Linked DNA regions of Schizosaccharomyces pombe. The protein of the gene in region 4 purifies or fractionates together with the protein of the main gene of each other region. This does not show direct contact. Each region holds a gene or a part of one and is shown on either strand. Other genes may lie near its edges. The genes, in order: pop23, pop100, rpp21 and rmp1.

The links.
Region 1: the proteins of rmp1 (region 4) and pop23 purify together in Schizosaccharomyces pombe (affinity purification with mass spectrometry, with the first as the bait; one study listed by BioGRID). This does not show direct contact.
Region 2: the proteins of rmp1 (region 4) and pop100 purify together in Schizosaccharomyces pombe (affinity purification with mass spectrometry, with the first as the bait; one study listed by BioGRID). This does not show direct contact.
Region 3: the proteins of rmp1 (region 4) and rpp21 purify together in Schizosaccharomyces pombe (affinity purification with mass spectrometry, with the first as the bait; one study listed by BioGRID). This does not show direct contact.

Annotation. Positions count from the first base shown.
Region 1 is NC_003421.2:664,434-672,524, reverse strand, and holds pop23 (Rnase P/MRP subunit), read right to left. Parts: upstream 3,945-8,091; 5' UTR 3,940-3,944; coding exon 3,869-3,939; exon of another isoform or gene 3,808-3,868; coding exon 3,462-3,807; exon of another isoform or gene 3,408-3,461; coding exon 3,219-3,407; 3' UTR 3,158-3,218; downstream 1-3,157. Other genes in the region: SPOM_SPCC16C4.21 (uncharacterized protein), read right to left, coding at 970-1,215; pus3 (tRNA pseudouridine synthase), read left to right, coding at 1,765-2,888, 2,941-3,058; SPOM_SPCC16C4.04 (uncharacterized protein), read right to left, coding at 4,456-4,788, 4,842-5,046, 5,092-5,354; peptidyl-prolyl cis-trans isomerase Pin1, read right to left, coding at 7,185-7,311, 7,457-7,857.
Region 2 is NC_003424.3:4,183,269-4,193,126, reverse strand, and holds pop100 (Rnase P/MRP subunit), read right to left. Parts: upstream 5,814-9,858; 5' UTR 5,581-5,813; coding exon 3,484-5,580; 3' UTR 3,268-3,483; downstream 1-3,267. Other genes in the region: loz1 (zf-C2H2 type transcription factor), read left to right, coding at 1-485; SPOM_SPAC25B8.18 (electron carrier protein), read right to left, coding at 1,149-1,514; intramembrane aspartyl protease of the perinuclear ER membrane Ypf1, read right to left, coding at 1,887-2,774; wybutosine biosynthesis protein Tyw3, read left to right, coding at 5,902-6,615; kinetochore protein mal2, read right to left, coding at 6,693-7,604.
Region 3 is NC_003421.2:656,036-662,186, reverse strand, and holds rpp21 (RNase MRP subunit), read right to left. Parts: upstream 4,484-6,151; coding exon 3,929-4,483; 3' UTR 3,369-3,928; downstream 1-3,368. Other genes in the region: hap2 (Ino80 complex subunit), read left to right, coding at 1,006-1,017, 1,063-1,090, 1,143-1,336; sif2 (Sad1-interacting factor 2), read right to left, coding at 1,866-1,889, 1,990-2,478, 2,559-2,620, 2,699-2,964, 3,048-3,355; rpl2802 (60S ribosomal protein uL15), read right to left, coding at 5,116-5,562; Smc5-6 complex SMC P-loop ATPase subunit Smc6, read right to left, coding at 5,876-6,151.
Region 4 is NC_003424.3:3,916,369-3,924,203, forward strand, and holds rmp1 (ribonuclease MRP complex subunit), read left to right. Parts: upstream 1-4,638; 5' UTR 4,639-4,707; coding exon 4,708-5,343; downstream 5,344-7,835. Other genes in the region: NEDD8-activating enzyme uba5, read right to left, coding at 1-159, 201-505, 545-734, 772-935, 979-1,091, 1,129-1,163; SPOM_SPAC323.07C (MatE family transporter), read right to left, coding at 1,833-2,772, 2,835-3,496; inositol phosphorylceramide mannosyltransferase activity Imt1, read left to right, coding at 5,986-6,945; U6 snRNP-associated protein Lsm6, read right to left, coding at 7,325-7,353, 7,404-7,517, 7,627-7,711.

The DNA.
Region 1 (8,091 bases), on a different chromosome or scaffold from region 4:
AGCAAAATAAAAGAAGCTTTTCTAAGTAACGTTAAATAAGAGAGATCAAGTTAAAAGAAAAAAGGCAAAAAGATTCCAAGAAATTTCAAATAAAAAGAAAAAAACTAAGAAGTAAAGTGAATATGAAATCTTTGTGAAAAAATGATTGAAACTTGATCAAAATAATAATAAGGCATAAAATAGGGTCAGAAGAAAAAACAAAGAGGGAAGAAAGAGAAAAAAAAAAGAAAAAGAATAAAACAAAAAAGGTAACCCACACAAAAACGAAGAGACTAAATATTATATAAATGTCACAAAACTTTGTATGAACAAAAAGATGGGCAAAAAAAAAGACCAAACGTTTAATAAGCAAATACCCTTAAGTAATGAGTAAAAGGCGGAAGAAATGAATCAACGAAATCAAACGAGTGAATAAAATTTCGAAAAAAAAAAAAATAAGGAGCCGGGTATCTGAATGAAAACGAATCGTGACTATTTTATGGATTGAGAATAGGGAAATCCTAAAAACACAAAATTGTTTAGTGGGGATAGAAATGGATAGATATGAAAATGAAATGAATAATGAAAGGAGGTCGAATAAAAACCCAGTTGAAAAACTATTTATGGCCAAAATTCAACAAAGCAACAAATGGCTAAAGTTCAATGAAAGGGTACAGAAAAATAAAAAAGAAAAGTAAGACTTTCAACACACACGTTGTGCTTCCGAAACGGATATAATTTTCCTTGTCGTGCAGGCTGAGTCAACGAGCCCCTAAGATGAAAAAATGAGAATTTCCGTAAAAACAATGAAAAGAAAATATTTAATAGGGAGAAACCGAGGAACGCAATAAATAGCAAAACAACCAAGACTGAGAATGCAAAAAAGAAAAAAGAAAAACAAGCGTTATTAGATGAATGAAAGGACAATCGAAAACTAATCCAAATAATAATGGAGATGATAACAGTAAATATCAAATTTCTGCTATTCTGCTATGTTTCCGGCTTAAATCTTTTTTTTTGCACTACAAAAAGCGTTTTCTTGCCTACTGCGACTGTTTTCCTGGTGGTTGGGAGGTATAGGTGGTCGGTAAGTTCGGCGTGCAGTGTGGAAACGCTGTACGTTAGAGGAACACCAGCATCATCATGCATGACAAAATGTTGAACCGATGGGTTAGCGGTTAAGATGCAACATTCACTATATCTCAATCCCTTAACATTTGCCGGATAGAGCTGCATAGAAAAAAATTTGTCAAAACCCGGGTAGTAAGAAAAAGTATGGTTTAGAAGGTATTTTAAATAAATCAACGAAAATTTAGCAGAGAACAGTAAATAAAGAAGCAAAGATTGATAAGAAAGCGGTTGCTAACGAAAAGAATTAGTTTTGTAGGTTGACCTTTGAAACGACTGAAAAAAAATTAATTTTCGATAAAAGTTGAAAAAAAAGGACCTTCTAAAAACGGCAAATTTTCGGCTTCATTGTCCATTCAAAGGGGTAGAAAGGAGATACAAGGTATTTCTTTGTGGTATCTAGTATGTACAGCTTGGTTTAGTAAAAGAAAATAGATAAACAACAGGGTATTGTGGGTAAGACTATTCATGGAAGCTAGGGCTCTTTCCAAAAAATTATAGTAATATTCTATATTGTTCATGAAAAACAGTTGAAGTGCTTCTACCCTTAGTTTAATATTTTTTTAATATCCTAACTTTTGCTTGAGCACATGCCATCTGTAGTACCTTTCCTCTCTTTCATTAAAAACTTGCTTAGTTAATTTCATCTTTCAAACTATGCATAGTCTCTTAAGACCTTCAAGGTTCTCTGCCAACCAATCTGTGCTTTGCTTGCTCCAACGACATCGGGTTTTCTTTTCTTCGATTTCGGTGAAACCCCGGAAACGAATGGTCTACTGTGTTGTCAGCTATCGTGGTACTGGCTTTGCTGGTTTGCAGTACAATGCCAATGTCAAAACCATACAAGATACACTGTTCCAAGCATTCGCTCGAGTAGGCGCCGTTGTTCAGGTGAATGCTGACTCTCCCAAGAAGATCCGAATGTGTTCTGCTGCTAGAACAGACAAGGGTGTACATGCCATTGTTAATGTTCTTGGTTTGAAAGTGTTGGACAATCAACCTCTACCTCATGTGGTGAATTTGGTCAACGATATTTTACCACCTTGTATTCGTGTATGGAAAATGGCGAGGACGTTTAATTCGTTTTCTCCACACACTGTGTGCGACAGTCGCGTATATGAGTATTGGTTGCCTGTCTCCTCTCTACTTACTCCCCGTCCTTGCACTCTCGAGGCCTATGTAATTGCCAAGGCATCTGAAAAAGCATTCCCCATTAATGAAACACTTTCCCATTTAGCTAACTTAAGCAAACAAGACTGTGTTGCGAATTCCTTGTCCGAGCCCTTTCGTTTATCCAAACCTAAACTCGACTTTCTAAAGCATGCGTGTACGATGTTTCGGGGCACCCATCGATTTCACAGTTATACAACGGAGAAGGGTTTTTCGGACGCCAGTTCTCGAAGGTTTTTATTAGATGTGCGTGTGGATAACCTTCACATTGACAAGTTAAATCGCCAATGGGTTAAGCTAATCTTTCACGGCCAGTCGTTTATGAAGCATCAAATTCGCAAAATGGTTGGCATCCTTATTCATCTTACACGCACTGGATGGAATGCGCAAGTTTTGCTAAATACATTTAATAATTCGTATCGCATTCGAATACCTAGAGCGCCTGCTGAGTTTTTACTTCTCAATCAACCTATCTTTCAAGCTTTCAACAAAAAATGTTCCCGATTTGATCATGAACCGGTTGAATGGTCATGTGCGCAAAAAGGCATTGACCAATTTGCACATTCTTTTCTTCGAACTCCAATGTTTGATTGCTTCATTTCATCAGAATCGTAAGTTAAACCACACCTTTCATTTCTATCTCACATTTTATTAATGTCTCAGTTTTCAATCATTTTTCATCCTTCAAAAACAATTTCAATTATTTCAAGACTTAGCTTTGTTGACATCGTTTGACTTTTTAGAGCCCTCGTCTCGTCGTGATATTCTTGGCGAAAAATAGATATTGCCCAGCCTGCTTAAAACTCAATTTATCGATGTTTCTTTTCATACTTTCTCAATCTACACACAATCTTTCATACCTTACACATTTACACATACACACACGCAAACATATATATTTACATATACAACTACAAGAAATCTGCCATCTTAAAATTTTTTCATTTTTTAAACTCGTTTCCCTTTTCGTTTTTACCCTCTTTTTTTGTTCCTTGATTTTCCTTTTGACTTGTAATGATTTTTTCAACCTTGGTCACCTCATACTCAGGATTTTCGGAAAGCCAGCGTGCTTGAGGCTCTTCTATATTCATCACTAAATCTTTTAAATATTTCCATAGAGGAGAATCATCCTAAAATATAGTCAATATCATTCTACTTAGTCTAAAATTGACCAGTAACCTTACCTGTACGGCAATCGCACCCGCCCTGCTCAAACCCAATTTCTTGGCGATTAGCGCTTGTGCAGAAAATCCAAGTGGAACTAGTCGACATTTGGAGGAGCCATAAAAGTTAGCATTTGCAACAAGCTGGGGCATGTGTGTAACTAGCATGGAATCCTGGTCATGAAGGATGAATACGACCGCAGGTTGCGTAACGTCTTTCGCATTTTGGCAACATCTCTCTAGCAATTCATTGACAGAATTCAATCCAACGGTCAACTTCGAGTCTAATATGTCTTTATGAGAGGCAGGAAGCCATTGCACAAGTGTTTGAGCTAATTTCTCTTGTGTATTTGCATCAACGATAGGCCTAACGGTATGGTTAGTCAGTACGAAAATAGGTGTGAAAATACAAGCAATAGATTACATACCAAGAGATAGATAAAGGATTTCGAAGGACAAGCTTAACTGTTTGTTTTACTTTCGTTTGCTTTTTCTTCATAGCTCAAATATCTAGTCCTCCTTTCAGGACTTCTTTTAGGTAAAATAGTAAAACGCTATATTTCACTATTTGATTTATGAAATGCAAAGTTCATACAATTCTGTATGCAGTGATACGTTATTTTACACTATTATAGAGAAATAAAAATATCAGAAATTGAAAGATAATAACAAACGTAAAAAAGAGTTAAAGAAGCTGTCGTTTCAATTTCAATTAATTCTATCATGTTACATGCAAATATCAAGCGAGGATTTTCTCAATTTTCTAATGACTAGCATAAATTAACAGTTCTAAAATAGTAGAAGATGAAATTCATAAAAGTTTAGAACCTTCAAAAATGAAGTAAAAAAAGTTTTTGAAGTAGTAAAAATGAAGTTTAGGAGGGAAAGAACTCGAAAAAGTTAAACAAGGAAATACGTTAGAATCAATCAACTTCATCACAATCTTTTAACTTTCTAGATTAAATAGAAAATAGTAAAAATACATGGATATGATGCATGCCTTCTTATACTTACATCAGGAAATAGCAAGTAAAAATTGGTCAAGTAGAAATTTCCATCTTTGCGGAGAAAAGGCAGATTTTTTCGAATGCGAGATGTATTTTTTTAACCTAAAGAGTAAAAGAATAATGCCAAAGATTGCTCCTACAATTTTTATATTTTTGTCAATTAACTGTAAACGCGAGAGGAGTGGAGTTAAACCTTGGTTTATTAAACGAGAGACTTTTGAAAATTGCAATTTTAGGGTCAAGGCAAATTCTCCTTCATCTTCCGAGGGATCAGGAGTTTTTGAACGCTCAAGGTTCATTTTTAACTCTTCCTCTTGTGCTTGAATCCGAAGCAGTAATGACTAAACAGTTAGCGACAAGGATCAAACGTAAATGTTGTTACAAACATGCATACATTTTCAAGTTCCCCACGAGAATTAGCCAATATGGCTTTCAATGGCTCAGTAAGCTGCACGCTACAAGCACAATTGACAAGTTTGGGGAGAATTGAATCTTTCAATTCACTTTTCAAAATGGCGTCTTGGTAGCGATACAAAGAATTTATCATTTGCGCGTAGTTCTCTTTTGTAAATTCACTATTCTCTAAATAAGTAATTATCCTGGTCACGTTAAAACTTCTGATCAAAATTTAAAATACTACATACCAATTTACCACGATTGAATCCGGTATTTTCCCTTGATAGTTGTGTAACAATTTTTCCTCCATTTCTGTCCAAGAACGCCTTTGTTCACACATAATTGTCAGGCACAATATTAACGCTTGTTCGTAAGTGTTTTCACTACAATTAGCATTCTTTAAATAATTATCAAGTATATATAATGAATGTTCATCTTTTCCTTCCACGTATAGTTTATAAGCATATCCGAAAGGCGTCTTATAATCCATTGGGAGTGTAGCAGAAGCCATGGATGGTAATTGGGCTTTTATGAAAAAAATTGAGAGATATTAAAAAGGATAAATAATTTCATCAATTTCTTCTTCTCAGGATATTTAAATTGATCTAACTAGCATGAAGAGTAAGTCATTGAGTAAGATACTCTATTTAGTTTTGGTATGCAGTGGGATTCCAGTTACATTGCAAATGAATCGAAGCATGCTCATTGTCATGCAGTTTATACTTTCTCTTACAAACATAAAAATTGAAAATTGAATAGAATAGAATAGAATAGTATTAATCAGAGACTAAGAGCCTGGCAATTCGGTATATTAAGAATGAAAAAGATTCTTTCAATGCATGACCTCCGTTTATCTTTGCTATTGAGGAATGTATCGCTTCATTAAAGTGAATTACTCATCCAAGGCGTAAATTCAATGATTACTCATTATCTTGATCCAGAATGAACTTCTTTTCAATGCTCAAAAGTTATATGACTGACTTATCTGGCTAAGGTAATATTAAATAGAGCTATGACAAACAAAGGTGTATTGATAGTATAACCTCTAAAACCTTCGATTTAAATTGAACATATAGTTTTGAATCGAATGCCATATTTGTTTCAAAAAAAATTCCTTCAGTAGTCAACAGTACCTTAGCTATTTTTCTATTTATTTTTATTATTTTTGGCACATCAACAATTGATTGAAATTAACTTTCAAATTTAAAGGTTTTTAACTGTTTGACTTCTTTTTTACATTGACTAAAGTATCATTGCTTCGACCGGCAAACTATCCCAATAATAGATTCTTAAGCTTATTAAAAAAAAATATTTCTTTTATTTTGAAAGATTTAATTGTATTAACGAAGTTTAATAATAAACTCTGATAGCTATACAATTGTTATTTTAATACAACTCATTTTACAATACTAAATGTTCAAGATGAGATTTAACGTTACTTAAAATAATCCCTAATTTAAATTATTATCATTACTATTTTTTTTAAAAAAGAACACTTTTTTTCATAATTCAGGCCCCTACTGTGTAAACACATTTGGATTCCTATAAATTATCAAATATTCCTTTACTAGCTGATATATGGATTCGCTTTATAAAATACAGAAAGATAGAATTTAGTACGAAGTCGGTTCAAATAAATTTATTAAATGGGTTCCAAATGCTGAAGAATTCTACTCACCTCTATAGCGTAAAAAATGGGATGCTGCATTTTCACTTTGCCGGATATTAATTGTTTTATTGTAAATCAGTGCATGGGGTTGGTTAGAGAAAAAAAACGAAAAAAGACTTGTGTAGGTATAAAGAAAAATAAACAAATAAATAAATATAGCATAAAAAAATGACTACAACCATAAAACCTCAAATGAAATATGCAAAAGATAAATTTGTAATTACTTTTTCTAATAAAGTTAACATTCATGTAAAGTAGAAAATCTGTGAAAATTTTTAAAGTGAACAGAAATCTCGAAACATCAATCAGTTACTTTATCATTTTTCATCAAAGCTTTTTCAATCAATAGCAAAGCGAAATCAAATCATTTTGTTTTCAACCTAGGTAGTAAGCTGGCTCGTGTTCATGAATGGGCAAACACTTAAATACTAAGTTAAAATGTATTATAAACGGGTGAACGTCAGAAATAAGGGACATACAAAGCGACAATTGTGAATATTCTCCTTTGGGAAAATGGTCAACAAAATGTAAAAAATCATCAGAAGAGATAAATTTGTGACAAAACAAGACAAACATTTTGTTTGCTTTTTCAAGCATACGGAAAGGGAGTAAGTGAAAATAAGAAATAAAGCATACTCATTAATATTATTAGGTAATTGTTTTGCAAATGAATTAAGCGTGTCTTTGAATGATGTGAAACCCACTGCTCGTTTCAACCACTCCACTAATTTCACCGGGTTTCAAGGCAAACGCAGCGTCTTCAAACGGTTTTTGCATTTCGTCTCTTCCAAATTCGCCTCTACACATAGTGTTAGTAAAAATCGTTCCAGTTGAAAATCAGACTACACTTGGCAAACCAACAAGAGCTTATCACCAAGTGTGGCACCACCATATACTGTCGGTCTTGCGACTCGTATTTAATTACAGTATATCAAAATACATACAATTCACCTCCGCGACGAGCGGAGCTACAATCCGACTCTTTCATGGCTAAATCATGCATGCTTACAGAGCCACTCTTTAGCAATTGTTCATAGTGTTCAGCCAGCTTCCTCGCCTCCTCCTTGCTCCTAGTAATGTGCTCCTCCTTCCATGAGCTGGGACGACGGCTTTCTCGATGCTTTACGAGTAAATGGCTAGCACGAATCTTGGGTGAATTGCTTGCCTCGGTGGGTGTAACTGACTCCTGCAACTCGTTTGCAATGAACTTTTTCAGGGCAGCCATATCAGTGGCAGCCGGAGGCTCCCATAAAGACTCATGCGTCTCAGTATTAAAGAAGTAGGGACGATTTCTGGAGCGTGAAATCTTGACAATCCATGGTTTGGGTAACCCAGTATTAGACATTTTTTTTACCACAACGCTTCTTCAAAAAATGGATTCACTAAGACAGAAAAAATCCTCAACTATAAATTACAAGCAAAACACGTTCAATCTCTGCAATTTGAAGCTTGTTTATTTGCTTTGTTTAGAGTCACGTAGTAGCTAGAGTCGTTTGCCATCTATTATGTAAATAAAGCACATTTGCTATGTTGCTATGTCAACCACCACTAAGGCCTTCGATAGGAAAGGAAATGGGGG
Region 2 (9,858 bases), 270 kb from region 4:
AAGGCCCGGCAAACACCTCTTATCCAGTCTCGGTTCCGCTTCCTAATGACGCTGAAAACAATCACACTTTATCCAGAAATCCATATATTCCTTCTTTAAATTTCAAGGATAACATGAGCGCGGAACTTAGTGTTGTTGCTACTTTGGCTAGCAACAGCGCGCAGGCTCATCCAATGGGTCAGCAATCTGATTCAAATTATTCTGATCATCACAACAACGATAAGAGAGCTCATGTATCGCGGCGACATTCAACTTCACGCAAAATTGCACAATCCCATACCGGTTCTTCGTCTACCTCTTCCGCTGCCAACGTTCGATATAGATGTACGGAATGTTTACAAGGATTTTCTAGGCCTTCTAGTCTAAAAATTCATACATATTCCCATACAGGAGAAAGGCCGTTTGTCTGCGATTACGCTGGATGTGGAAAGGCGTTCAATGTACGCAGTAATATGCGGCGACATCAACGCATTCATGGTTTGTAGCCAATTTTAACCTGTCTGATAGCAATTATTAGCCGTTACTTGAAAGCCATTTATTGCGACTACTACAACTTCTGACGATATTAATTTCATGATATATAAAAATTTATTGAATAAAACCACATAGCAGTTGGCTGCCCGCACCCTTAAAGAATATATAGCATTACCTTCCGTTCCTTTTCTTTTACGTTTTGTTATCGCGCGTTTACTAGAGTTTAGTTTAAAATAATTTTTTTGATTACAGTTTGCGTGTCACGTTTCTCATTTCCGTTTAACCTACCTAGCTTTAACATATGCTTAAAGTCTCATTTTATTATGATTCGAAGAATCTATTTTGAGCTTTCTACTTCCGAAATGTTCTTTCATTGTTAGCTAATTTATTACCCTTAAAAAGTTTTCTATCGTACAAATATGTGTTTACTAGCGAACTCAAGATATCAATCAATTAAGTCCATTCGAAAGATCTGGCAACGAACGACATATTAAGTGGATAAAAAGGAATTTCTGATGAATCCTATTACAGTAACTATTGAATATGCAGATATAATAATAACAAAATTTTTTATTATTCGTAACTTGAAATGCATCGCATTTCAACATCAGTTGAAAGGATGCTCATAAACTAAAATGATACGTAAAAATCGGTCGTTGGAATAAGAGATATTTTTATAAAAGTTTAGAAAAGTCGCGAGTTTGGAGAAGGATGGAATATGGACTAACTTTTCCCTTATCCCAATCCACAAGGCAAGGTCGTCGAAACAATTGATTATCATGCTGGTACTTTGTCAAAGCATCTTCAATAGACGTAGCACCTGCGACAAGTAAATCACTTTTATCTTTACCAATGTTAGAGAGCATGATATTCAATTGGTCAAGGGTTGGGGTAGCTGTTTCGACCTGTAATTTAAAATGAAGCATTTGATTATCCGTTTTTTCACCTGCAATCATATACTCTGTTAATTTTTGCTCAACTAGCGTCTGTCGCTTTTTGGTAAACAGTGTCAATATTCTTTTCGTGGTCAGACCAAACATTTTAGGAGAAACACAGCTGAAATTCACTAATAATCAAAATTATTTATTATTTCAAATTTTAGACACCAGAGTCAAATAATTGCCGAAGGAACAAAGTGGTATAAATGCACTATGCTCAACTCTTTAGTAGTGATTTGGAGTAATTTAAATTTTGTAATCAAATACTTTTTATTCTAAAATAAACTTTCAAAATAAAGGTTTTTGCAAATTTCTTGTAAAAAATTGAATTGAGGTAAGTGGAATATCATGGTATATGTATAACGTATATACATGGCAAACTATGGAAATACGGTATGGCGAATAACGGATGAGCGTGAAGTAAGGAATGGGTTTTAACAAACGAATGTTGAAATTCTAAATCAAGGACCAATTTTAAGTACTTTTACATTTATCTTGTTCGTCAGTTTCATCTTCTGTTTCACTACGAAAGGAGAAGAGTGTTTTCAATTCGTCACGATACCAAGCAGTTAGTAATGGAGCGACAATACAGGCAGGACTGAGATAAAGCAAAGCTGGCTGTGCTGCTTTAAAGTAATATAATGCAAAATTTGTAACTCCAAGGCCAAGCCCATAAGCTATAAAGGTATTCCGAAAATATGTCGAGTGCTTCTTAGGCTGGGAGGTAGAATTAATATAGTAGTGAAGATCGAATCGATACATTAACGCAAGCATCAATCCAGGCATGACAATGTCACCCAAACCAAGCATCGAAAGCCTTGTAGGGTTTTTGAATTGAGGAAGTACATACTTAGCTGGAATGTCAATTCCAGTAGCTACCGTCACCATGACTTCGGTACCAAATACAAAATAGATATCGTAGAAGAAAAGGGCACCAAGGAGAAGCGCACCAGTATTATACGAATCAATTCTCATAATACTAATGGAATTAGCAGCTAATGCCCATGCCAAAATATTGGATGCCATCCAATGTTTAGTTTTAAAGTAGAATAATGCAATGGCAATTGAACTCATGGTTGCGGTAATTTTTCCAAATGTCGTTTTTGGATTAAAGCTACGTACAAAACATATTATGGATGCTAAGCTTGCGTAGCCCTGTAGTATCAGCTGAATATATTCTTTACTCAGATATCGAAGTGCCAAATACATCAGAACAAGCGTAACTCCTCCAAAAATAGGAAACAGCACAGCTAAGCGCTTATTAATAAGTTGTTTTTCTTCAGGTTCTTCTTCTTGGGCAGACCATTTCGCCCCTATATAAACTGTAAATAAAGCTGACGAAGCAAGTATTACTCCCTCCATCTTTTGTAAAATGATGAACCAAAGGAAATCCAAAAACTTATCCCCTTCAAACCTCAAATACTCGTGAAAATATTTCCTCACGCGTTTGCAATAGTATAAACAGTTGTCTAGGAGGATACTGTAAAAGACTCACAATAATTTAAATGCTAACAGTGCATTATGTCAGATAATGAGTTTTAAGGTAACCTGATGCAACAAGCAGTTAATAGTTTGTATTTTGAATATGTTATTAGGCTTTTTCGAAACTAGTTCATTCAAAACCTCTAAATTAAACATTTTCTTCTTCTCTCGAGCATATAGGTGTGACTTGAATGTGCCATTAGGTCCCACAAAGTCATGCATTCGTTGCGTATTATATGTGTAAACAAAGCAATATACTTTATATCGTAATACATTCCCATAAATATGTTCTAAAGAATAACGGCATGAATAAATGAATTTGAAAAAGCACCCTTGAATTCAGTATTATCTACGGCAAAACGGAAAATTTGGTGATCGGTTTATAACTTTCAGTTGACTGATCAGTAATTATATTTAAGCGTCATTTAGCAATTATTCTATTTGAAAGCATTTCAATTTCACCAATTTTTAGTTAGTTGCATCCAAGAAGATGCCAACAGATATAAAGGAGTTTTAATTATCAGTCATATATAAAAGTAACACTTTTTTTATACACATGGCAAAATTGGAATGCAGTCCTCAAATCTTTTTAATGAGACTGATTAAACTTCCATTGTGCTAATCGTGGGACGCTACAACCTACGTTGCGAATAATACAGTATCCGGATTTCTCATTTTTAATCGTTTTGGCTAGAACATTGGCTATACCAGAAGGTTTGCCTGCATTCAAATTGAAATTTCCGGTCGTGACGAATCCTATAATAGCCGTCTCGTTTGGACACTTTGGGTAAAGCAAATTTTCAGCAGTGAGATTTTCTTTATAAATGATGGTCTTCCATTTACTAAGTTCATCGTCACTAAGACAATAAATTCGAGCCCGATCTTGCAGGCTACCTCTTTGCACCAACTGTACTTGAACACGTACTAGCTGCAGAGTTTTATCTTCATCTCGTGAAGCCTTAACCATCTCGTTTAGATAAACCCAATCACAACAAAACGGGTTACCTATTTCTGAAAAATTATCTCCGAATTTTTGATAATTTACGCGTTTGGCAGGTGGACGTCTTTTCCAGCTATCTTCATTTCGTTTTTTTCTTTCCTCTTCGCAAAGTTGCCCACTAATCGTATCTGGATAATCAATCGGAAAGAAAGGCATTCTTTTTTCAAACGCAATTTGGTGCAAATTTTCTAATCCGCCAAAACGTATTCCTTTTTGATACATCATCTTCCTCCATACAAACTTGGCATAATCCCAAGGCAAAATAACAGTGAGTCCGTTCCATTCTTTTCTATACGTAATATACACGGGTATAACTTCTTTTTCAGAAGATTTTTTCTCATGAGTATGTCTATTTTTATTCTCAAAAACTGCAAAAGAGGGTATTTCCTGTCTCTCCCAATACCTAAAATGAGTGCTATATTGGTTTGCAGATGCTGGTAAACTGTTTTCAGCAGAATCTAATAAGCTTTTTTCTCCCTTTTCGGATAAATTTTTATCGCAACGAGTATTAACTAATGCTTTCACAGATATCGAGGCGCCCATGGGTAAGCATGCGCTTGAATAATTGGAAATCGACTGCCAAACTTTTCCTGCTTCATCTAATTCAACGTCGTCAAATACTTTGTGGAGCATAATGTTGCTATCGGGTCCGTGAATATCAAAAGATGCTAGATCTAGTCGCCAATCGTGCATAGCAATGCGATCATCCAAAACAGCTATACCAGATAAGTAATTCCATGCTTGTAGAAATGCAGATGGATGTAAACGTATAACTAACTGCACACATTCGGTAGGATTTTTTACAGGGATCTGTTTTTTGTCATCTTCTGTAGGGTTATTCCATTGTAGAAAACAAGGGCATATGAGCTCGTGTATGTCAGACTTCACGAGGTAAGATGTAAATGATCTAGAAGAATTCAGAAATACAGGAGGCAGTCCGTTTGCAAAAGAATTTCCAAACTTTTCTTTGAGAGCTTCGTATGGCCCGCTAATGCAAAACAATGGTTCATAAGACATGTCGAATGCAATTGCATCTTTCCGAAAAGCTGCTCGATGGGTAGGACGATAGGATTTCTCAGTCGGTTTTTCGGGAATGGCATATCCCCAAGCATTTATCATGTGTGCGCGTTTGCATACCCATAAATGAGTGGGAAGCCATACCTTCCGAAGTTGACGACCAGCAAATTTTCCACGTATTAACTTGACGGCAGCCAAGGACGGAATTCGCGAATCATCTGTAGAATTGTCTGTAACCAAGCTTCCCGTACTGTCAATTGCTTTGGTTTCACCTGATTTAGCTAACTTTCTTCGCAAGCGTTTGATGAATCTCTTTAACCGTTGTCTGGAAGGTGCAATGGGCAAAGTAGATGAGGAACTGAGTTGCATTTCATATAAAGCTCTATCCCTTAAACCTTTAGGTATCCTTTTTATATTATGAGAAGCTGCTCTTCTTCGTAAACATCGAGGAAGAGCTTGGAAAGCACGCTGAGCGCTGGATTCTTTTGATCTTTTCATAGCATCTTGTAAAGCCGTTATTTCAAAACTCCTTGATTCAATGAATTTTTTTAAGTCTACAGCACCATTTGAAAGGGCAGGTGATTCAACCTCTATGAATCTAGCATCAGCGAGCTTTGACCTTTTGACGTTTAGTCCCTTTGGTTGCGTTCCTCCAGTTGAACGCTTCATTTCATAAAATTAGATAAAGTGGGGGACGGTTTTTGTAGCAGCCTTAATTAGGAAGTTAATATTATACAGTGGAACTTGTTTGTTGCATGGATTGATAAATTACTCAAGCGCGTACGAAAATACCATAAAAATGATTTTTTCTATTTGATTTCTTTTATTTATTAGGTTTGAGCAAACGAATCTGCAAATATTGTTTTGAATTTAGAAAAAAAAATGTAGGTGCTTGATTTGGCAAGTTGACAACGCAAGTTGAAAAGTTGTAAGAATCCACCAACGAGTTGAATTAAGTCGTTGCAAGGAGTTCCTTGAAGAACAATTTGAATGAATATAAAAGGAATAGATGTATCATTTGATGCTCAAAAAAAAGAAATCTTAGAAGGCTTGAAATCCTCCGTACCTGATGCATCACCCAAAGGACACCCAGATAGCCCAATATTTCCATTGCTAGATGTTATAAACTCCCACCCGGATTGGGTAACAACTAGTTCATGTTCAGGAAGAATTTCAGTCTATGTACAAGGAGCAAATTCCAGAAAAGGAGGTGGATACTGGCTTTTCGTTAGTCATCAGGCACATGAAGAACTACCACCGGTTTTAGAAGATGAAAAAGTGGAATACGGAAAGGTTCCCAGTTCTCCGGTAGAAGGAAATCGGGAAATACAATACGCTTTTGAACCCATGATTCTGCATGTTCAAACGAGAAGTTTAGCGAATGCTCAGCATTTGCAAAGAGTAGCAGCAAGCTGCGGTTTTCGGGAAACAGGAATTCAAGGTAGTGAGCAGAAGTTTATTGTGGCTATTAGAACAAGTTTACGAATGGATATTCCTATAGGATGTCTTACAGCATCCGAAAAGCTTCAGTTTTACATTACTCGTGAATACATGTGCTTCCTTTTCAAGAGAAGCGTTGAGTATTTTACTGAAAATGGAAATCGAATGGCTAGACTGAAAGAGCAACTGGAGAGACAGGTAGAGAAAAGGATGAAACCAAGGCGGAAATTAAGGAATATGGACGATTATTTGGTGCAATCGTAAATAACTAACAAGTATAAAGTTTTTTGTATAAAAAGATAGTCCCTGTCTAATAATAATAAGAGTATGGTAATAAACAATCATAACGAAGCATGACTTTCTGGAGCAGTTAGGTGTGATACAAGTATATTAACCCAACGTTTGTTGTCTAATAAAGATAGTTCAAGTCTGTGATCTCTTTTCCAGTTTTCATCAGAATACTGATATATCCTTGATTTGACCACTCTAGTGGATTCTGAAGAGCAAACAAGGGTAGCTTGAATGACTTTCGGAATTTGAATGACAAGATGTGTACAAGAAAGATTGGCAGATATGTTTGTCCCATCAATTGTCAAAGACTTATTGATTTGTAAAAGTGCGTTTTTACGACAGATATATGCGGTCAATAATTTATCTACTTTCCACAAAAATATTCTAAACCTTTCAGGGTTCTTTCCAGTCAAATACTCGTCAGCCCATTCTTGTATGTTCAGAAAGCTTGGAATCGTATATTTATATAAAGCAAACGAGTCGTGAAATACTCGAAAAATTATATAATAGGGAACATCAAATCTATTTCCACCTTCTAGTTCTTCGTCCATGCCAGAGGCGGAAGATATTGGATTCTCTGAGAGATTCGTAAAGCCTATATTTACTGGATTCAACATGATATCGAACCGGACACCAAGAAGCGGTATAGAAGGAGCAGTCTCAATGGCTCCTGTCTTTTTATTTTTTACGAGAAGGGTCTTTCTAGATAACTCCTCAGGATCATTGGGTTGGAAAAAGGAAATACCAGAAAGTCGATCATAATGCAGTGCAGGTTGATTTAACGGAGTCTCTTTCAGAAATTCATTGTTTACAGATAAATTTTTGGACAACTCGGGCTTCTGAACGAGATCGGACAGTGTCGCATTATCTAAAGACTTTAATTCATCAAGCAATACATCCCTTCTGGCTTCAAGGACGGAAATTTCATCGATGAGTGTCGCATTGCCTTCTTCATCGTCCATGGCAGCAAAAAAAATTCATGGAACTAAAAAAACTGTAGTTTCAACAGTTTCTTAGGGCCTTATTGATAACATGAACCAAGCATAGAAATTCAGTTACGCTTAGACTCGTCCACGTATGTCAAAGCGTCGAAATACACAGCAGCTTTTATAATTTAATCACTGTAGCATTTCAGAGTTTCGAACTGGAATAGTATTTTAGACGAGATTTGTAATTAGATCAAAATTAGAGATTGGTAGGTTTGAAGATGTAATGGATAGGAAAAAATGAAGATTGCAAATCTATTTGCAACGAAACGAAAAATTATGCAATATTTTTAACTGTTTGATAATATGTAAATTAAATATTTTCTTAATGAGTTACAATAACAAAGAAATGTATAGAAAGCAAAGTCGGACAAGTTGTATATAACTATATAAAATTGAAGATAATTAAATCGCCAGTTTAAAAAAAAAAATTAAAATTAAAATCTAGGAAAGAAAACAGAATGGTTATTTACAAGAACAAAGAAATTTAACTTATAAAATATATAGAATTAAATTGACATAATCCAGGAAATGAGAATTATTTTGAAGAAAAAATAATGACATTTAACAAAATGACATTAAAAAAAAAGAAAAATAAATTAGTAAAGAAAAAAAATGAAGGTAGTTTTCCTTCTTATATAAATGATTTTAAAATCATTACATTTTATAACTCACCAATTAGTGCATCCCTATTAACAATTCTTTTATTAAAGCTCTTCACGTACAATCCCTTAAAACATTCATATTGCATTAAGAAAGCAACAAAATTGTATATTTAATATTAGATTATGAGCGCGCAAGTGCTATACATTGTAGCAGTTTTAAGGATCGTTGAATGTACATGGGGTTTTGATTTGACAAAAGCCAAGTTTGTGTTAAATGAATGCAAAGGGAGAATGTATTATTCAATGTTAAATAATATAATGTGAACTTTTAAGTGGTATTTGTTTACAATGAGCTAGAACAAACATGATAAATTACATTCTTTAATTACAGTATATATAGTTTAAATTAATGAAGCAAATGTCTACGGCCATACCTAGGCGAAAACACCAGTTCCCGTCCGATCACTGCAGTTAAGCGTCTGAGGGCCTCGTTAGTACTATGGTTGGAGACAACATGGGAATCCGGGGTGCTGTAGGCTTTTTGCTTTTTTGTAGAAAACTAAATTTTTTTTAGTTCATTTATTTTCTTTTACATTCTTTTTTATAAAATCAGTTTGGCATCTATAAAACAGGCAATTGTTATATAGTATATTTCATAGTGTCGAGTTGATTTTTGCTGTCATGTCTTTGATACAATTGAGAAAATGAAAATTTAATAGAAAAGTCTTTGTAATACAAAGAAAATCAATTCATCCAGACTGTAAAACTGGGTTCAAGCGACATTGGGCTTACAGTTTGTAAAACACTAAAAATCGGCGATATTCAATAAAAAATCTACAATTTCCAAAATAGCGGTGAGTTAAAGTGATTACTAAAAAGAAAATAAAACCCAATGAAATAAATTTGAATGAAGTAAGGTAGATTTTTTTTTTATTATTATTTATTTTATTTATTTATTTTTCTCTTCTATAGTAGGGATTGCTTAGATGAGCTTTAGTTCTGGGCATACAAGGCATACGAGTGTAAACACAAATTACCACTGCTGACTGAAAAACGGAAAAGTCCATAAACAACGATCAAAAGTCAAACAGAAACAAAAATTATTGATGTTCGTCTTTCGACTCTCATCACTGCTATTTTTCCTACTATTCGACTTTCGGTTTATAAACACTGTATATACTCGTTTACTACCAACCCTATTATTCCTCTGCTACAATATTGCTACTCATATACCATGATCTAACGCGTGTCACTATGCACCTTTATCGTATTTTAGCGCATTGAATTAGCGCTTGTTTTTTTGGGTCACACTTATCAATGCATCGGGGAGTCCCCCACTCCCCCCACTTACGATAGGCCAGGGTTTCACTATCATAGTCCATGCCACGTTCCAATCACCTTACAGTGAAACCGCCCGATCACAAGCTTAGTATTAGGCAATATTCAGCGATTCATTAAATGGGTTTAAAGAGAAGTAACGAGGCTGTATTAGGATGAAAATTCCGCCATATTTATGCCATTCATCTTTCCCATTCGAAGTATCATATTCAAAGGCGAATTCCTTCTCTCCTAACTAGATTTTTTCTGTAAATTTACGACTGAAAGCTCTTCCCTTTACAGTCCTC
Region 3 (6,151 bases), on a different chromosome or scaffold from region 4:
TTATTATTTTATTTGATTAATAACTTAATTTCTTGGGTACTTGAAGGGATCTTTAATTTAATACTTGGATTGTGTATCCGGGTTCTTATTATTGCCGTTGTTTTTAAACAATTTCTATGTGCTTTTGTTCATGAAATATTAACTCCTCTATCTTAGACTGGTTTATATTACCAAAAAATATACGTCTAAAACCTCTTTGACCCCTTCTCTTTTTTCTAATTTTCCTCCTCGCCCCTCTTTATTTAATTTCAGCCCACTCATAAATGTCTGTATTGTTTCAATTCAATGCTAGAAGCAAGGTGAAACCCTTGTATTTTTTATTATCTTTTTATCATTTCTGTTTGTTTTTATTTCGTTGTTGAACATTATTTGGTTTCAATTTTCTTTCAGAAGGTTCTTTCTGTTTTATTTCGCTTTTTCCCTTCTGAAAATTATTTTGCCAATGAGACACTGCTTTATTACTTGAAATTTTCTGTGCAACCGGAGCCTGGTTCTGCTGGAAGTATTCGTTTATGACAGTGCATTTATAAAACGAATGACAGATTTACTCTGAATCAGTGGCTGACAATATCATTTTTGAACTTATCCGAAGTAAATTCATGATTCTTTGTTATGAAATGATCATAAATCGTTTTTGAAATATTTGTTCACATGTATGATGTACCTTTGTTTATTGAAATTTGACTTTCGTATTGTAAATGTGAGACATGATCCATTCTTTTTCTACCCAAAAGAAGCAAAAATGTAATATGAATGGATAAGAGAAGTCAGCCAAAAAAGGATTAGCTTTATATTAGACATTTGTTTTTCACTAGCAATACCCAGCTGATGGGTAAGAAAACTAGATAACGGTTTCGGTTCGTATCGTTATAAACCCTTGGTTGCGTAATGTAGTAGGCAATCTTCTATAACGAAGTAAGCAGTTTTTCGTTAAATACAATACAGATTTTAAGCAAACTAGCTTTGCATTCTTCACCAGAAACTGAGAACGTGAAGCTTTCGGGAATGGATCCACAGGTAGGAGGTTTATTACCTATTTGTAATTATTTATTGACCGCGTAGGTGGTAAATTTGCTTCAAGAAACTGAAGGTGTGTACCGATTTTTGTCTGACGACTTTTTGCTAATGAACTCGACGTATAGAGGACGTGTATCGGCGTAAAACCGCAAGGATTCGAAGAAAAGTCTCGGAAATTGAAAAGGAATGCGAAATGTATGCTGTGAAAATTTACAACGTTGAAAGAGACATTCAGCGGTATCGCCATGAAGCGCAATTGCTATCTAAAGTGCTCGAGAAAAAAGGGTTAAATAAAGAAAAGGAAGCTGGTGAGACATAATACTTGTTTTAGGCAGGCGCTTGATGTTTTTATTTTTAAGTCTTCATTCGTTTTAAAATCACTTTGCCGGCCATTGATCTATAATCGTTAACATGCTTTTTTTTGACTAAGTATATGAAGTATGTAATGATTGATGGTAAAAATTGGACTCTGCAACCGAAGAAAAAAAACCTTATGTAATTTTTTGAAAAGTCATACTTTGTGCCGAAATCAATACAATATCTACGTACTATGGCTGTTGTTGTCCTTTTTTGTGTAACCCATTTCAACGTTCTTTTATGTGGGAAATCAACTAGGAATCTTCAAAGAAGAGAAAAAAAGAGCTTTATCTTCTATTAAGTAGGATTATTATAGAAGACTACCGTGTAATGTCAATAAATCATGAACTAACCGAAACTAAAAAAAAACTAAAGGAAAAAGCCGAAACATATGCGTAATCAACTCGATAAATATGGTTTAATTTTTTTGCCCTTTCCCATTTCTTCAATTATGTAAACATAATGTAAAAAGAGGAAAGATTCTTCGGTTGTTATTGAAACAGCTTCCAATCCACCTATGTAGAATAATGTGTTAGCAAACAGTAAAATAAATTTGTTGGAATTGTTGATTACTAAACGGAAGTCATTCAATTTGAAACCATCGGCCAAACGTACCACTATACTGAATAAGGCTATCAGCACCAACAGCCCCATAAGGATTACCACAATCCATTCTAGAGATTCATCATGTGTATGTGTTATCTGTTCTTTCAACATTGAAAGTAGGTCTCCAATTACCTCCACTCTTTGATTTAGTAAAGCAACTCTTTGGTTAATTTCCAAGTAAGACCGTGCTGCTGTATATATAGGTTCTAACTGCGGCTCCGTCCACATCAGCTCAGGACTATCCAAAACGCTTCCTTGTAAATTAATGTTAATTCTTAAAATAAACAACTGGCCTACGGCCATCATAATTTCCTCTCTTTTCAAATTCACTCTGCCAGTCTCGGCAATCATTTGGGGTGTATCTTTAGTAGCATCTATTGTTTCGTTGACCAGCTCTTCAAATAGTGATATTTTGACTGATTGAGCAATAGCATGTGAAATTGAAAGACGAATCATGTAGTTGGATGCATCCCGAAGTGCTATAAAGTCGTTGAATATCTATATCTGTTAGTCGACTAGCTTCACCATGAGGAAAAAGAGCTAAAGACAAAAATTTTTATCAATAAAAATGTTCATACCCTTGGTTGATAAAGAGTCGTTATATAGTAGTTAAACTCTTCTACCTCCATATCTTCGATCTCTAAAAATTACAAATGTTAATAACTGCTTAAAGATACAACAATATGATAATGACTGTCACCCAAAGTAATTTGCATACTTAATTTTTCAATTTCAAAGCGACCGAGTTCTCTTAAGAAACGATGCTCTTCATCAATTGTGTATCCCCATAAAACAACAACGCCATAAGTAAAGCAAAACACTTCCCGAAACAAGGGTTGATTCCTGTCCAACCCGGATTCTTCAAAAATACTTTGTAGACTTTCTTGAGAAGATTCTCGATTTAACGTTCCACGGGAGGACTCCAATGTGTCAGGAAGTAAGTCTGTCGTCTCTTCATTATTGTAGCTATACGGACTATAAATACTGTTATAATGTTAGATAAACCTCTTCAAGTAAATATCAATAAGGATCAATAGAATGAGAAAAATGCAAAAATATTAACTAACCATTCGTCAAATTGTTTAGGTCTTGTTTTATGACTACTTCTTCGAGATTGAAAAAACTTAAACAGCAAGTCGACTCTAAATGTATCGCATGTACAATAGGCAGTTACTCTTGGTAAGAATTCTCGATGCCGTTTTCCAAGATGCTCTGCGTCTCGTTTTGCCGTTGACCCTTCTATTTGAGGAATTTGGGAGTACACTTCGCGCCCCGTATCCTGCCTTCTAAAATCATCAAATTCTTCTGTAGAAGGAAGAAGCCGAAGCTTCGCTGCAGTTTTTGTGGATCTCTGAGGCCCAATTCTATTACTCATCCTCAGAATGCAAAACTGGAGTTGGTAATTGACACAAGCTCAACTTCAGGTGGTAGACAGTGAGAGACCTCTCTTGTAAAGGAATGAACGATTAATCGGAAACTTAAAAATATGCTCATAAGGGCGTTGTCAAAAGAAAACTACTGAAAATATGCTACGCACAATAACCGCAAGTTGACGATTTGTTTGCTATTCTGTGATTGACATTTCCGTATATATTTCGCACCATACAAGTGACAAATCAAAGAAATAGTAAATAAATAAGTTAAAAGTAAATACAAATAGAAGAAGGGGCCCCTTGTCTAAACTCGTCCAACCCAAACGAATAGTTCTAATACAAATGTAAATAAAAGTAAACAACGGGAAAAGGTAACGATCAAATCTAAAACGGGAAGTTCAAATTTTAAATCAAAACTACATTAAGACAAATGAGCTGAACTAAAAGAGGAAGAAGTACACGGCGCTGAAGGCTGTAATAAATGTCAGAAAAGTTTCAATCCTCATTTTAGAGGGAAAATATGTGTATAAGAATATGACAACTAGATAGAAAATTGATAGATCAATCAGAATCACTCATATCGGTGACATAAAGTCTTGTAAACTTAATGAAGATGTGCTTTTTGCAACCTCATCTTTTTTTTTCTTCCTATCCAAAATTCCATTAAGTCCGGAGGCTCTCAAACGTTGTCTTTGTTTTACTTTGGCATTATGGGCAGATTTTCGACTTTCGAGTTTCGTAGATGAAGATTCAGCAATAGCTTTAGCACGTAACGCTTGTTTGCTTTGGTGCAAGCGAAGAGGTACCCCTAAAGGAATTTCATGAACATAAGAGCAGACTAAGCAGTTAATTTCTAAATTTGTGCCCAACCTTGAGACCTCTCCTTTCTTCAAATCTGTCCGTGCCTTCCTCTCTGAACTAATTGTACGAAGTTTTATATTACGGCCAAATATAAACAAAGATCCACATTTGGAACACCCGTGCAAAAGTGTCTTTGGATCTGTTTCCAAATTCCATTCCTCCAAAAGAGAGAACATCCTCCTCAAGTAGTGGCTTGACAATGATGGACTAATCGCGTATGTCTCTGCCGCTATTGATAACAAAAATTGCAGTTTACGTTCTTGATCCATCTTTGGAAGTCTTGTTAGCCCAGGAAACTAAAATATTTGGTCAAGTGTAGATGAAAGTGTTACAGACGCCAATTCTCTCTGAAATTAAAGAATGATTCCAAAAAAAAAACACCAATGCTCTAACGAAAATTCTCCTCTATTAAAAACTATTTAATTATTCTTTACCATGACGATTTTACGTAGATATAGCTGAATAGCTTCTTCGTAGTAGTAAAAAGTAGTAGTTATGCTATCTTTACCTATTTATCAACAACATATGGCACATCAACAAATTACATTGAATAATGACCTTTTTAAAGACTTTATAACAGACTTTCTTGATATTCAACTTTGACAATAATATCACTACTCAAAATTAAATTCACCCAGTCCCAACAAAAACTAATATATTGCTTTTGCAAACAAGTTTGGTCAATTGAGGAAAATTCAATAAGTAGGTTACAGGGTAAACATGTCAATATACTTATAAATCGCTACGCTATAGAATGTTTATCAAAAAACATGATAGAAGCTTGAATAAACTCTATTCAAGTGCATCAATGGATTTCAACAAAACTACATACATTACTTTCAAAATCAAAAGACGCCCCTACAATAATTAACCGCTCAATGTACTTTTTATTGTTATTTGTTTATGCAATGAGCTCAACAACACCGCCGGCTTGCTTAATCTTTTCCTCAGCTCTGCGAGAAACGTAGCGAGTTTGAACAATGACAGGGGTCTCAGGAAGACGTCCCTTACCCAAAACTTTGCCATAACCGGATTGAAGGACATTGATGACGGGAGCAACCTCAGTGTTCTTGCCCAAATACTTGTCACGAGCCTCGTTGGGGAGTAAAGTCCAGAGACGGTCCAAGTTGACAGTGGGACGCCATAAGGGATTCTTCATGAGGTGGAAACGGCGCATACCGACCTTACCAAAGTAACCAGGATGGTACTTATCGAAGTGACTACGGAGGTGTTGTAAACCACCAGCCTTACCACGACCACCGGGATGCTTCCTGTGCTTGCCAATACGACCGTGACCAGCTGAAACGTGTCCACGAAGCTTACGAGTCTTAGATACGTGAGTTGGCATTTTGATGTCCTGCGGTGAGTTGACACTAGGAATGTCAGTTTTTCGGTTATGTTGTTCTACTAAGACCAGTCACACAACCCTACCCTACCATATACTCTGCTAATTGAATATTCGATCCATCCTTATTCTACCGATAAGTAGCATGACTTTCGGTAACAACAAATACACTAAGATTTCTCGCTTTCTGCTAAGTATACGATATGGCCGACAAATGCGTATTCGTAGTCAAATTTAATATACAAATGAACTTGCTATATATCTAATAAATAAATTCTAAATACCTATACAATAGACTATCAAAATAGTAGAAATGTCATGGCGCCGTAGAGGGAGGAAGTGCTGAAGAGGAAACGACAGGATCGCTAAGACGAAAAACAACAACGTCTTTGTCCAAACCAATTTGACCCATGTCCTGAGGTGTAATAAAAATAAATTGCTTATCTGAAGAATCCTTTGCAGAATCTACCATCATTTTAATACTGACTAGTCTATTAACAGCGTCCATAAACACATCAAATTCATCAAGACAGCGGAGCGGACAACTCATTGCCTCCCAAATTGACAACAGCATACAAATCGTTGCAAAAGA
Region 4 (7,835 bases):
AGAACAATTCATGTCAGGCAATAATCCAGATAGTGGAAGAAATTCTGTCTCATCATAGAACATTTTGAGACAATGCGCCATGATCCAAAAGCTTTCAGAATCTTCCTGAATTTTAACGCAGCGAGTATCGTGTAAAACTTCGTATACGTTGCTTGGCAACTATTTCATATTAATTTATGCGTTCTAAAAAATACAAATACCTTATATTCCTTAAAAGCCTTCCAAGAATTCGATGAAGCCTCTTCGATGTTTTCTGAATCACATTTTCCCTTGTATTCCTCCATTATTTTTCGAAACATAGCACAATCATCAGCTTCTTGTGAATTTTGCGCGTGTGCTGGTGAGACCTTTAATAAGACATGGATGATTAAGACTATATACGGTATTTCTGACAGAGAAGATGAGTCCATATTGTCCAAATCCATTGATTTTACATAATTAATTAGTTCAGGCCACGGGTTTTTCAGACGCAAATCTTGAGGCAATTCTGGTTGTGATTGAGTAGCTAACTTTAGTTAGATATCCCTCTTAAATAGGAACTTACTGGTATATTCATGAGTCGAAATTCGAAGTATGCCGGCAAAGCCAACTGAATTGAAGTGTAGCAGAGGAATCTTGTGCGATCGAAGGTACTCTTCTAAGCGAAAAAGAGGTTTTTCCTTTAAGTTTGAGGATAAGACTACAGAAAATTTTGAAAAATACTCAATGTTTTTATCTATTAAAGCTTCGGGGCTCTACAAACGTTAGAGTATATCGTCCAAACAGCCATACCATCTCTAAATATTCCATTTCGACGTTTGGATTAAGTTGTTGCAACAAAGATGCCGTACAGCGAGCTCTGGATTTTCCTTCTTGGTCGTACTGGATAAAAAAGTTCATTCCATCCATACTGAAATCGACAGAAGTATCATCAACGACAGCAAAAGAGCCAATCCCTATTACGTCTATTTAGTATAATTTCTTTAAAATATCCAATACCTGGCAAAATTAAATTTTTTAAAGCTTCACACCCTACAGTATTTGCATACAAAAGACACACATGCGACTTCTCAATTGCGTTCTGTCCTTCAGCTTTCCAAAGCCGTACTTGTCTATGATTAATAGTAAAGGATTTAATGAGTTTCATACCTATCGTATTTTTGCATTTTCGCAGAAGTTCCCATACTAGTTCAAAAGTATGACAAAACAGCTGGAAGTCGTTACGTGTAAATTACAGGTATGTATGTAGGAAGGAAGAAGGATGTTAATAAGACAGCTTGAACAAAATCTCTACGAAAATATATCAAATGAAATAAAAATAAATTTGGCTTGTAACAATAAAAATGGTAATTAAAGGGAACCGACGATATGACTAGGCCGGCTAAGTTTGATATTCTAAAATTGTGAAGCAAAATGAAACTACTTCCATTAGGGAAATATGGGCTTCTTGAAAACAACTGTTAAACTTCTGTACCTAATCAGCTTTTTTTGAGTATATGGCAATAGTATAGAGTCGGCGTGATAGTGACTCAAATACTCATGAAGAAAGACAAACCAACAATCAAAAAAGTAGAAAAGTCAAATTTTTTTTGGTAATAAGATAAATACTAATTAATTGTTAAGTCTCTAAATTTTTTGCAGAAAAAGGAATGGTAGAAACCAATTGACTACATGTGTAAACTGAATGACAGGCTGACAGGCAAAGATAATCAAACATATATTGTAAGATTGAGAGGATACGTTTTTATCGCGGATGTCTATTAAATAAAGTAATTATTAAAGCGGAAACAAAAGAAGAACGAGAATTCGGCAGTAAAATAGAATATCAAAGGAGTGGCCGAAACGAAAACTTATTAAACGTGGGTCAATCTATGACGAGCTTCTTGAAGAACTCTATGCCAATCAGTATTAAATAGAACAGTGAACTGACAAGTAATTGCGGTGACACTAGACAAAATCATTCCACACCAAATCCCCTTTAGACCGGTATTGAAATATACAACAACAAAAACGGTGACTGGTAAAGCAAACAAGTAGCTTGATCCGATACTAATTAAACCTCCAATATACTGTTTACCAGTGCCACGAAGAAGTCCACCTCCTACAGCATTTAATCCGTCAGTGACAATAAACAAGGACAAGATAGGGAAGATGTCCTTAACGACTGCAAGGACTTCGGGATCACTGGTAAACAAGCTTCCCCAAACGTCTCTAAAACAGAAAATTAAAGACCCATCAAAAATGGATATGCACAAAGCTAGCGAATATGCTACTCGAGAGCAAAGACGAGCTAAGTTGGCTCTTCCTGAACCAATTAAGTGACCCACGCGTGTTGACGAGGCAACAGCAAAAGCGAAGGGAATTTGAAAAAGCAAAGAAGTAGAAGTGAGCAAAATTGACTGGGATGCAAGGGGTGCAGTACCCAAATAACCAGCACCAAGACTAGTCATTTCATAGGCAGCCCACTCAGTAACGATCATCAGCATTCCATGGAAAGAGAAATGTAACATGGGAGATAGATTTTTCAAAGCCTGCCTAGAGAAACCAGGCCACGGGATAGGGGTGGAGGAGAAACAAATATACAATATTAAACAAATGCTTTGAAACCAAAAAGTAGTAGCAACGGCGACTGGAGCACCGAGAAAGCCAAATCCAATTGTGGGATGCCATACAAGAAGGTAATTTAAAAGAATATTGAGAGGAGCAGCAAAGCATAATACATAAGTGATAGGGGTAAATATGCCTTGAGCTTGCAAGTAACGCTTCAATGCCTCAAAAACGGCATATCCAGGTCTAAAAGAATACAGTTAGTGAAAGGAGGAGAGAGAACGGACAAATTTTAATAAAGTACTTACGCAGCCAAGATAAACACTCTCATATAACGACCACACAAATGAGCAACCATAGGATCTTGGTGAAGAAAGATTAGAATATGTTCAAGATTAAGCCAAATCAAAGCTACAGGTATGTGTAAAACAGCCAAAATAAGCAGACATCTTTGTAGGTAGATGGCTACATTGTAGGGTTTATTAGCGCCAAAGGCTTGAGTGGCTAAGGTATCTAAGGAGGAGATAACACCTTGGAAAATGGAGAAAGCACTGATTGCAGCAGTCATGGTGGAAAGGGACGAAGCTGCCAAGTATTCCTTTCCCAAGTGTCCCAATGTAAAGACTGTAGAAAATTGTTCCGAGGATTGTAACAAATAAGCGATGACGGTGGGAGATCCAAGACGCAAAAGTTCTGACAACTCGTGCTTTATAACAGGGTATCCCGATGCGTTATCTGCGAAGCTCTCGCCAGGTGTATGAACATGATGCTGCTGTAACTGCTGAGCTACAGGAATCATAGAACCGTAGACGGCTGGAATATTAGGCTCCACATACTCATTGCTATCCTGGAAGTACCCATTCTCTTCTGCTAGTAATCTTTGTTCCTCTTCAGAATAATCACTGTCGGGAGAAGGAACTCTTCCAGAGGTCGGGGATTTGGAGAAGAGTTTGGAGAAAAAACGCTTCATAATTTGAGAATTAACCTTGTCTTCACTATTAATTTTTTAAAAGCAAAATATTTCAAATTCTCTATATTCGCCTTTCTAATATCTTTTCTTTTTTGTGTTATACTTAGGATGAAGCTTCCAATAATTACAATTAACAAAGTCTTTAACTATATAAGGGGAAGAGAAGTCAAGTTTGATAGTGTGTACAAGACAATGGTAAACGGTAAGCCGTGGAACGGTGCGAGGTTTTTAATCAGCTCAATCGTCCCCCCTAGTACCGACTTGATATGCAAGAGATAATCGGTACCGTACATAGATTAAATACAAGGGAGAACCAATCAAAAATCAAAAGCTCTCAACTGAGCCAATGATATATCATTAAGATAAAATTAATTTTTAAATCGCACTAAGCGGACAAATAGCGTTTAGACTTTTTATCAGTTTCGCTATTGAAAATTTAGTACCGACAATCAGCAAATTTTACAAATTTCTTTTCATGGCAAACTGCTGGCTTAATTGACAAAAAGGAGGATATTTGACAGGAAAATTAACGCAGTTTATGTCTTGAACTGCGGAATCGATACGCCGTGAAAAAGAAGCCAGAAACAGCCGACGGTAGTGGTGCTTTTTGAAGGATTCTTAAAGTGAAAATTATCTGCTACACGAGTATATTATGGCGGTATCGAATGGCAGGTACCAAATGCTACAAAATCTTAAAACAGGCATATTAAAAAATGGGAAACAAAAAAGGACACAATAAATCATGTAGGATTCTAAAGGATGCATCGACCAGTAGCGGATTTTATTGCTAAGTATTAGAACTCTTTGTATTTCTTTTCATTGATTTGTACCTTTTGTTTTTGTTTTTGTCTATGAGCTCTCCATATGTTTCTACTTCGTTCCGCGGAATGCCCGGATCGACTGTTACTTCTTCCACTCCCGTAAACCAGGTGTCGTTTATTATCTTGATTTACTCGCTAATATATTTTCGTTAAGATTACTTATCGAGAGAAATTGAAAATGATAAAAATCGTTAAAGTCAAATACGAACAGTTCATTTTTAACGTCCAAATTTTGATTTAACGAGAACTTGAGCAACACTTTATTTCTTTTCATCCATCAATGTATTTAATGGATACTGTTCATACATACATACTTTCTTCGTTCGTGTTCGTGTTCACATTGCTCACTCGTTGGGTGGTTTGTACGACCTATTTGTCTAGTCCAACGATATGCAGGAATTGCAATACGATGTAGTTTTATTGCAAAAAATCGTGTATAGGAATAGAAATCAGCATCGACTAAGTGTTTGGTGGAGACACGTACGAATGCTGCTTCGAAGACTAAAGCAGTCGCTAGATGGAAATGAAAAAGCGAAAATTGCTATTTTAGAACAATTGCCGAAATCGTACTTTTATTTTACAAACTTAATTGCCCATGGTCAGTATCCAGCCTTAGGGTTAGTTTTGCTGGGTATCTTAGCTCGCGTTTGGTTTGTTATGGGCGGAATAGAGTACGAAGCAAAAATACAATCGGAAATAGTCTTTAGTCAAAAGGAGCAAAAAAAATTGGAATTACAGTCTCAAGATGACATAGACACTGGGACTGTTGTAGCTCGCGATGAATTGCTAGCTACGGAACCTATTTCATTGTCTATAAATCCTGCTTCTACTAGTTATGAGAAACTGACTGTATCCTCTCCTAATTCTTTTCTCAAGAATCAAGATGAATCTCTCTTCTTGTCTTCTTCTCCTATAACTGTTTCTCAAGGTACCAAACGTAAATCCAAAAACTCAAATTCCACAGTCAAGAAAAAAAAGAAACGTGCAAGAAAGGGACGAGACGAAATTGATGATATATTCGGATAAATAAACCTCAATTAGTCTTTCCATTTTCAATTGATTTTTTCTTTTCTTTACTTTTGCTTTTTGTTTCATCTATTTCTGACACCAGTCTCGCAAAATCTCTCTATTTTTATTAAGAACATTACGCTATGATACGAAAACGCTGTCATTCATCATAACACCATTTGGGTCTTTGAGTCTCTACTGCATTTCATCCAGCATCAAGGCATCCTGTTGTATAGAATCAAACATATTTTTTTTCTTTGTTTGTACATATCTTTTATTTATCTGTGCATTTGAAGTGCTCGCGGGCTTTAATTTATTCTTTTCGTTACTTGTCAAGTTTGAATATGCAGCGATTCTAAGCCATCCCCATAACGTATTTATTCTTTTCAACCTATTCTGAGCTTCTAATTCTATTAAACCTTCAATTTATTAATATTGGGTTTTCTGTTCTACTGAAACACTTTTCAACACTATCACTGCATATATTCTGGTTATTTGTTTTTTATGCGCACATCGTGAACAAATTAAATATTCATTTTATTTTTCAACGGTTTTCTTATTAGAACAAGTGAATTTTGCTCACCATATCACCTTTCTTGTTTTTTCGCTTCTTTTGTTTTATCGTTTTGCTGCCGAGGTGAATTACATCTGTTTGCAATCATGGGAAGGAAATGTCGCAAGCTTCTCTTAAAGGGAATACCTATATGCGGCGTTATTTTGTTGATCCTCTGGGGCTATTCCCTTTATAACACATTGAGATTTATGGTACCAGGGAAAGCGACTGAACCTTTTACCTTAAGTTTATCGGATGTATCAGATGATACTAGTGCTCCAGGAGAAATGGAAAAAATACCAAGAGTGATTCACCAGCTTTGGAAGGATGAAAATATTCCAGAGAGATGGTCTAATACTGTTAACTCTTGCAGGCGCCAACATCCTGATGAAAACGGCTGGCAGTTCATTTTATGGACAGATGAAAAAATTATGTCTTTTATGAACGAAAATTATTCCTGGTTTATGCCTGTTTTCCACAGCTATCCTTATAATATCCAGAAATTTGATGCTGCACGTTACTTTATTCTCTATCATTACGGCGGCGTATACATGGATTTGGATATTGGGTGTAAAAAACCCATGGATCCTCTTCTAAGCAAAGCTACTTTTATATTGCCTTCGACGGAACCCATTGGGTATAGCAATGATTGGTTTGCTGCTACACCAAAGCATCCATTTCTGTATCAGGCGATACATAACTTGTCAAAGTTTAACCACCGTTATTTCACTAAATATCCCACGGTGTTTCTCAGTGCAGGACCTTTATTCCTATCTTATCAATTTTGTAAATACTTACTTACGCCGCATGAACCAGTGCGCGTCTTACCTGCTTTACTTTATGGAAACGGACCTAATTCATTTTTTTCACATGTTACTGGTGATAGCTGGCATGGCACTGATGCTAAAGTATTTATTTGGATAGACCGAAATTCAAAATCTGTCTTATTTTTTGCTTTTTTGGCTGCGTTCGCTATCCTTTTCTTATGTCTAAGAGTTGTCTTTAAACGGAGAAGGAAACGTGGAATTGCGGCTTCTCACTCACAAATACAGGAGCTATATCCCTAGTCCCTTCGTTTCTATAGATGGGCTAAATGGGTGATTTGGCTATTGAAGAAATTCAAAGGTAAAAGAAGTGTATATTATAGTTTCATTTGATGACAACTTGAAAAAAAAAAATGATGCCAAAGTCATCGTCTCTGTGTTTGTTTAACGAAAACGGTTTTTTTTAAAGGGCTATAAATTACATTTACTTCTAAATGATACATCAATATCTACAAATATATATCCTTCATTGAACTCTGGCTCTTCTTTTCAACATTAGCATAAGAACTTATTATGTATACACGTGTTTGTATTTTTTAACGATAATTTGTATTTTATGCAAATTACTTTAACCAATCTTGTACCATAATCGTATATCGTATTGAAGGGCTAGAAATCGTCTCTAATCATCTAAAGCAGAAACATATAAGACTGTTGGACGGTAGTTAGGAAATCAAAGCACTTTAATATAAATACCATACCATTGTTTCCACGAATAAATGCATCTCCATAAACATTCGTCTTCTTGCCATTAACGTATTCTTCTGTGCGTTCAAGGGCCAAGTTCATATAACCATCAAGACAACTGAGGATTCCTAAAAAACAGGTTTAGTATTAACAAACCCTAAATAACGGAAAAAAAGTTAAAGCGATAGAAACAAATTGCAAACTTGCATTGTCTCCGACGCAATTCATGTTAAATACCTTTATAGTCGACACCAGAACTTAACCGGATAAGAACTTTTTTGCCGATGACCTTATTCAAAAACTCATTAGGAGAAGAATCCATTATCTTCCAGTTGGTTTAGAGAATTCAGCCTTTGAAGGGTTTTCTGTGAGTCGTAAATTGAAGTAGACACCAACTACATTGGTAACCTCAGTTCAGGGTGCTCTTGCATATAATGAAGAATAGC